Tribolium castaneum: one gene and its partner. The protein of the gene in region 1 purifies or fractionates together with the protein of each later gene. This does not show direct contact. Links are inferred from orthologs where the notes say so. Each region holds a gene or a part of one and is shown in the gene's direction. Other genes may lie near its edges. The genes, in order: proteasome adapter and scaffold protein ECM29 and Rpt4.

Region 1 (3,924 bases):
CGCTTTATGATAACGGTTGGGGTTCTCGAAAATTTGGCCTTCATGGGGGTCACCAGTAATTTGAGCTGTTTGGCGCTGCACATGTACTCCATGTTTAGGCTACTGTTGTTTATCAATTCCTTCCAACAGTCGTACGCTTTCAGTCTCTGCTCGGTTGAGGAGGAGTTTCGGAACGCAACCTCCACCTCTTTCAGCAGTTTGTTACCGGTGCCTTGCCTCGAGTGGAGCTTCTCGTTGCTTAACTTAATCAAAAACTCCCACAGTTGGTCCCAATGCGGGTAGTTACTGTCTCGCAACTGGCCGACAACTTTAATGTACCTTAAATTCGTTACATTGTGACTAGCTCATTTCTCGTGTAACTGACTCACGTGTTGTCAATCGCAGCGAAGACTTCCTCTTGGTCTTTGGTATCTAACGTGGAAACAGTAACAAACTGGACGAAATGAGAGCCAAGCTCAATCAGCTCGTCTCTAATCCAGTCATCTACATTTTTGGCAAACATAGCCGGTACAAGTTTCGTTACGAAAACATCAATGCACTTATCTCTAGGTAGAGTACTTGTTAGCCTCTTAACCGCAGCCTTTATCTGGAAGACAACCGCTTTTAGTAAGAGTTTACACCACAAGTGCAAAAAAACCTCAGCAATCTCATTTGTTCTTTCGTTAAATAATTCAATGAGATCAAAGCTCCCGCTTTGCACTTGGGACACTATTTCGTTCATTTTAAAGCCTTACTAACATAGAGAGCCCGAAAACTTATTTAAAACACATCGATCACAAACTTAGCGTCTCAATGTCAACGCGGGAATTCTGTGTCATGGCCCCGCGATAGGGAAGTTTGGTAGGGTGCGGTTGGCTACCCCGACAATTTTTCAAAAAAAAATATAATAATTATCAAAAAATAGCCAAAGAACGATTTAACGTGATTTAATTGAAACTTGAAAGCTCTTTAAATTTTAAAATTTAAAGAAAATCGTGTTATTGTGCACTCGTGCCCGCTCCCGACATTCTTGTGGCCGAAAATGTTATTTCACACATCCAATTAATTACATTTTTATGAACTAGTTGAGTATTTGCCACGTTCACACGTTGTAATTTTAATGAATGTTGTAATTTTGCAACGTTTTCGAATTTTTGTGTTAGGGATTTTTTGCTACATTTGTTTGACAGGAGCTGCCAAATAAATAAATATGGCCATGGCGGACTCTGCAAATGAATTGAGTGAGTATTTTAAATAAAAAACAAATTACGTATTAAAAGCATGTGTGCGCTGTGTTAATAACGTAAACACACATTTTTTAAATATTTTTTGTAATGTTTTTGTTACTTGTGTTTTAGTGCTCCTGGAGCGGGTGTTTTTGCGTTTGGGCTCAGCTGATAGTGACGAGCAGCTCCAAAACCTCCTTTCTAAGTTCCTGACCCCCGTTTTACTAAAACTGGCATCCCCTGAGGAAAGCGTTCGCAAGAAAGTAATATAATGACTCATCAAAAATGCAGCACTGACTGTTGATTTTAAGGTGATGGAGCTGCTAATACATGTAAATAAACGGGTGAAAACGCGGCCTCAAATCCAGCTGCCTGTGGAAGATTTGATCAAACAGTATCAAGACCCGGCATCTACCTCATTTGTCACGGTATGGTTGTATTACTGAAACGCCCCCTCACTCATGTTTTTCCAAAATTAGAATTTTACAATTATTTATATTAAACTGGGGTTCCCACGACTGAGTGCTGACAGACAGGCCGAACTTGTCCCAGTCATTTTGAATGCGTTGGAGCAGAAACCTGTTGCTCATTTGGACAGCATTCTTTTGTTGGTTGTACTGGTGTTGGGTAAAGTTAAGGTCCCGACTGAGCCTGAGAAGGTGGCGACTTTGTTTGGCTTGAATGAGAAGCCGCAAATTGCCAAACATTTGCTTGACATGCTCTTGGATATGCTTCTCTTGCCTTATGGGTAATTATGATGAAACATACGGAGGACTAAAACTAGGGGGCGAAAATTTGACGCTTCTTTCTATATTTTTTAAAAAAGTTACGAATACAGTACCAAAAATAGCAAAAAACTAGCAAAGTTTTAGAGAATCCAGTTTCCTTAAGGTTGAAACAACACTGAACTCCCTTAAATAGAAACAGTTCAAACAAAAAAAAAAAAACTTAAAGATCGTTTTTTACCATTAGATATTAAAGCATTACCTCACAGGTCAGGTCTTATCTCTTTTTAAATAATAGTATTTGAGTTTTAACGTTTTAAAAAAACTTAATAGTTTTTGTTCTTATGAAACTTAATAATAGGTTTAAATCAAATAAAAAAAAATACATTGGGTCATAAAAATTTTCAAAAATTACAAAAAATTGTGTTGAATATTTTTTTTATGAAAAGTTCACAATCTTAATTTTTTAAATGTGTTAATTACGGTTAACTATCGACAAATATGTGTACGAAAAGTTGATTGTAATTTGAAATAAATACAAAGTGGTTATTTAAGAAATTTATTTCTGATTTTTTCTCCAAATGTTAAAATCTGTAATTGTTTGAAAATTAAAAAATTAATTCATGATTGCATTGGCTTGAAAAAAAAACAAATTAATATCTTTAAAGCCCGAAAACTTTGCAGTTTAAGTGCTAAATTCTACACTTTCAAGTCACTAAAATTAGCTATGCATTTATTAAAATCTCCTTTTTGTAGTGTAGTTTAGTTGTTTATTTATTTGTTTTTTTTTAATTTATTTGTTGGAGCAAATAGCATGTTCTAATTTTTATTTAACAACAAAATATTTACATAAATTTTTGATATCTTTAACGTTATCAAATCTAAAGTCTTTGGTATTTCTAACTACAAATATTTTCAAGCCATTATTTACGATTTGCAACATCTAAAATACCTTAATTATTAAAATATTACTTACCCACTTGTAAAATACAAGGAAAAGTAATTTATTTGTAGAGAATTGTGTAAACTTAATTATGTATCTTTTTCTTAATGTTTTTTATGTCTTTAATCGTATTCGCACTATTCGTAGAGTTTAAATAAATTGCTAAAAAATGCTATTTTCTCTTATATTTTTTGGTATTTTTTTTGTTTCTCTTCGACTTTTGCCCACTGTCCCCTCCTGATTTTAGTCCAACGTAAACTTAATTAAGATATCAAGTCAGACTTGAATTGTAGGGCGCTTTCACCTCAAACGCCTGAAAATGAGCAAAGATCAGTATCCCTCCCTGTGCCCCCTTGCATGAGCCTTCACTCCTTTAAACGCATAACTTTAAACAACCCCTTGAAACCAGAAGAACTGGAAGAGGTACACATTCGAATTTTTTTCCCTTCATCAATCAGAAACTAATTTGTAGATCAAACTGGGAATCGTACGATTTCTAGCACATGGTGTTTTCAAAGACGAGGATATTTTAATTCACCTCGTGGTAGCAGCCGCCGATACGCGTTTCACTGTAGCTAATTTAGCCGACATGGAATTGAAAAAAGTCGTCGGGTAATTGATTTGCTCCTTTGTCGTTTATTTTTTCTTATTAAATGTGTTTTTTTAGCTCTGTAGATTGGGGCTCCCTAAGTGTCGTTATGCCCCTATTTACCATGTTTTTAGGTTCACAATCGAAAAATCTAAAAGAGGATCAGATCAAATCAGCTGCTAGTACCAGGATAAGGCTTAAACTTTTGACTTATTTGTGCCGAATCACAGGAAAGGCTTTCGCATTTCCCGCTTCCATTCAGCTGATTTTTGACTCGTTGTACGGCAGTAACACCAACACCAGGCTCAAGACTTTGGCCCTGAACTTCACCATGAATCTCGTCAGATAGTGAGTAAATTATAGCTCATTTTTCCAACTCTATTTCGTAATAACAGCGTCCGATAAAAAAGTTTATTACGTTAGTAGTGGTTTTTTCTTGTCAGTATTTTGTACAAGTTAAAG
Region 2 (3,924 bases), on another chromosome or scaffold:
TTAAAAGCTTTTAAATGCTACAAACAGTAGTCAACGCGGAAGCCATATGAAGGTAGGTGCATTTTTTTGCATTTATCTACTGATGTGTTGAATTTAACAGTTTGAGTGCCATATATTGAGACGTATTGTGTATTATTTATTTATTATTTACATATGAAGGTAGGTGCATTTTATTCAACGCCAAATGAAAAATATTTGATTCACGTGTTGTATTTTTTTCATTTCATAACCAATAATTTCATTATTCTCTTCATTTTCTAATGATCATTGTTTACCTCATCCTTATTTCCTTTTTTTTTGGCAAGAATGCTCTAAACCTCCACGTGGTTCTTGCAGGACAAATTGGTTAATGATTCGGCTAATTAGAGCAATCCTTAAATACGAATCATTTTAACGCAGTTTGCAAAATCGAGTAAATTTATAATAACTAAAAAAATTCGTTAAGGTCTCAAGGTATTTTTTCCGAACATGATTTTTTTACAGTCGAAGGCCCTATTAGAGGGCTTGATTTCCTGCAAAAATAGAGAAAATGGCAGGATATAAAGAGGGTGAAATAAAAAGTTTGCGAAATCGGGAAATCCTAAAAAAACATTAAAAAAGATTTTAAAGAATTTTAGACGTGCGATTTTGTGTTGAGGGAAAGCTAAGATAAAAACACGTTATGAATAGAAAAAAATCAGTTTTCCTGACGAGTTGAACACAAGATTTCAAAAATTCGGTAAACATTTAATATTTACAATATTAATAAATTATTAATTTAATTTGGCTACCTCAAGCGTTTTACCCCGTTTTATAGAAACGCAATTATTTTGCAAAATTTCTTTAAAATGAACCAAAAACTCATTAAATTGCATAAAAAGTAGATTATTTTAATTTTTGTGATATTTTAACCCATTTTGATTCAAAAACGCAGTTGTTTAATGAATTTTCACAAATAACCAAGCGAAATTTTTTAAAATTGTCCAAAAATATTTCAACAAAACGGTCGAAAAATGTACTAAAAAACGCAATTATTTAGAATAAAATAAAATTAAGTAAAAATAAAAAAATCATAAAATTGAATAAAAAAATGTTATATTTTTTTATGCTTAAATTTTTGCAAAAAAAAACGTATTACTTCGCATTATTTGATAGTTTTTTATTTGAAGACACATTTTTTGCAAAATTTCGATAAAAACAAACTGAAAAATCGTATAATTGGTTTAAAAACATTGATGATTTTACGTTTAAGAGCGAAACGAAAATGCAATTTAATCAGATGATCGATTATTTCACAAAATTTCTTAAAAAAATATCAAGAATTTTATTGCAATGGGTTGAAAATGTATGCTTTTTTCGGTCGCCTAAAAACACGCACTCGGAGTAACAACTTTTTTTTATAAAGAAAAAACTGTTTTGGCCAAAAATGAAATTTTTCTTAACTCTTTAGTACGTTGGCGCGGTCCTGATTCTCGCTGCACACATTAATATTAGTTATTATTTTGACTAATTAGAATTAGAGCAATCCTCAAATGTAATGTGTATTGTTGGTTGCATCTTACTTAAATTTAATCACCTTGTATTTAAAATATATGATAATATTATTTTGTAACACGACCTCTTTCCCTACAGAACAGAATTAAAACAGATGTCTTGTGTTACAAAAAAGTTCTTTCAAAATTCCGTAAAACTGAAGCATTCACTAGGTTGGCGACTCTGGCCGATGTTTGAAAAAATTAAATTTCCCTACCTGCTGTCAAAACCAAAAGTGCGGTGTTGTGGTGTTCTGCCAGTCATTGTGCCTTTAGTGAAATAACTTTCGAAAATCCTGACTAAAAAGTGAGTCAAAATGACACAAACTGAGCCCGAACGCGAGAAAAGCCTCCAGGAATACCGGAAAAAACTTGTGGAACACAAAGAAGTCGAGTCTCGCTTGAAAGAGAGTAAGTCACTCTCCTCTAACTTATTTGTTTTACTAATTGTTAAACAGTGCGAGAACAGTTAAAAGACCTAACAAAACAATACGACAAGTCAGAGAATGACCTTAAGGCGCTGCAAAGCATGGGCCAAATTGTTGGCGAGGTTTTGAAACAGCTAACTGAGGAGAAATGTGAGTTTCTCTTTTGTGAAAACAGTAATCAACAAGAGTGCTTTTTAGTTATTGTTAAGGCAACGAATGGCCCCCGTTACGTGGTGGGCTGTCGCCGGCAACTTGATAAGACCAAGTTGAAAGCAGGGACTCGTGTTGCTCTCGACATGACCACGTTGACAATAATGCGTTATTTGCCCCGAGAAGTCGACCCCCTTGTTTACAACATGAGTCATGAGGACCCCGGCGATGTCACATACTCGGCAATTGGTGGTTTGTCCGAGCAAATTCGCGAGCTCCGTGAAGTCATAGAGTTGCCCCTCATGAACCCCGAACTGTTCATGAGGGTGGGCATAACCCCCCCGAAAGGTTGTCTCCTGTACGGCCCCCCAGGCACTGGCAAAACCCTCCTAGCCCGGGCTGTGGCCTCACAGCTGGACGCAAATTTCCTCAAAGTTGTCTCAAGTGCTATCGTTGATAAATACATTGGAGAGTCGGCTCGACTCATTCGAGAAATGTTTAATTATGCGAAAGATCATCAGCCTTGCATTATTTTCATGGATGAGATCGATGCTATTGGGGGTCGGAGGTTTTCCGAGGGGACGTCAGCTGATCGGGAAATTCAGCGGACTTTGATGGAGTTGTTGAATCAGATGGATGGGTTTGATTCTCTTGGTCAAGTCAGTTCGGTTTGAGAGAAATTTTGGGAGTTGTTCATTTGTGTATTGATTTCAGGTTAAAATGATTATGGCCACGAATAGGCCCGATACTTTGGATCCTGCTTTGTTGCGTCCAGGTCGTCTGGATCGTAAAATTGAAATCCCGCTTCCTAATGAACAAGCCCGACTTGAAATTTTGAAAATCCATGCTGGGCCTATAGCGAAACATGGGGAAATTGATTATGAAGCGATTGTTAAGCTGTCTGACACGTTCAATGGCGCTGACTTAAGGTAATTGAATTATAAATAAACAATTTTGAGTTAATTTCGTTGTGACGTTCCAACATTTTAAGAGAAGATAAAAAAATGAAATAAATAAATTACAATTTGGCGTATAAGTAACAAACACAGTAAAACAGAGATTTGTATTTTATTTTGTTAGAATACTGTTTTAAATTTGAGGTGTGTTTTGACAAGTTTTTACAAAATACAGGCTGTATCAGAAATACGTGTCTTAATTTTAACAGGTAACAGAACTCAACAAATAAAACATCTTTTCTATTTGTAATTTTTCAATATAAAAATCGCATATTTACATAAAATTTGGAAAAAGATCATAATGAAACTTGTGCCTATGGGTTCAAAAATAAAAGAGCTGAACTATTTTCGTTGTGATAGAAACAGACAATTTAAACAATTTAAAACAAGAATGGAAAGAATACAAACCAATTATTAAACAATGATCGGCTCGTTTGCAGAAGAGAAAGGAGGAAAACAATGAAAATTTTAAATAAGAATTTTGCAAAATGTTGTATAGAAAAGTTGCTGTATTTGATGAGTTTTAAATTACTATCAATTACGATCAAATTTGGCAATTTTTTAGCTAATTAGCGAAATTTTTCGCTAATTATTAATTATCTGAAAAAAGCAAAAATCAATTTATTTTGGCGAAATTTTATTGATTTTTTAGTTTGGTTCAAATAAATATGAAATATTTTCGTTTCTTACTCAAAAACGTGCTAAACACTCAAAAAAGCAAAACATTGAGTACTTTGTGTTTTAATTTGGTGATTTTTCTATTTGTTTTAGCAATATCTTTAAACTTAAAATTTTAATTCAAGAACTGATCGTTGTTTTGGATCAAATGTTGTAATTTTTCGGCTTAATTTGAAGAAATTCCGCTTAAAATCGAGCCAA

Evidence for each region.
Region 2: the proteins of proteasome adapter and scaffold protein ECM29 (region 1) and Rpt4 purify together in Homo sapiens (affinity purification with western blotting; 3 studies listed by BioGRID and IntAct, with this or other methods). This does not show direct contact. The link is inferred for Tribolium castaneum from reciprocal best matches to the Homo sapiens genes ECPAS and PSMC6.

Annotation. Positions count from the first base shown.
Region 1 is NC_087395.1:15,616,080-15,620,003, reverse strand, and holds the start of proteasome adapter and scaffold protein ECM29, read left to right. Parts: upstream 1-1,085; 5' UTR 1,086-1,189; coding exon 1,190-1,220; intron 1,221-1,337; coding exon 1,338-1,468; intron 1,469-1,516; coding exon 1,517-1,633; intron 1,634-1,684; coding exon 1,685-1,953; intron 1,954-3,166; coding exon 3,167-3,296; intron 3,297-3,345; coding exon 3,346-3,485; intron 3,486-3,540; coding exon 3,541-3,810; intron 3,811-3,924. Other genes in the region: mucin-4, read right to left, coding at 1-318, 369-586, 638-721. UniProt on the Homo sapiens protein: Adapter/scaffolding protein that binds to the 26S proteasome, motor proteins and other compartment specific proteins. May couple the proteasome to different compartments including endosome, endoplasmic reticulum and centrosome.
Region 2 is NC_087394.1:9,241,930-9,245,853, reverse strand, and holds the start of Rpt4 (26S proteasome regulatory subunit 10B), read left to right. Parts: upstream 1-1,698; 5' UTR 1,699-1,828; coding exon 1,829-1,922; intron 1,923-1,969; coding exon 1,970-2,089; intron 2,090-2,137; coding exon 2,138-2,748; intron 2,749-2,803; coding exon 2,804-3,018; intron 3,019-3,924. UniProt on the Homo sapiens protein: Component of the 26S proteasome, a multiprotein complex involved in the ATP-dependent degradation of ubiquitinated proteins.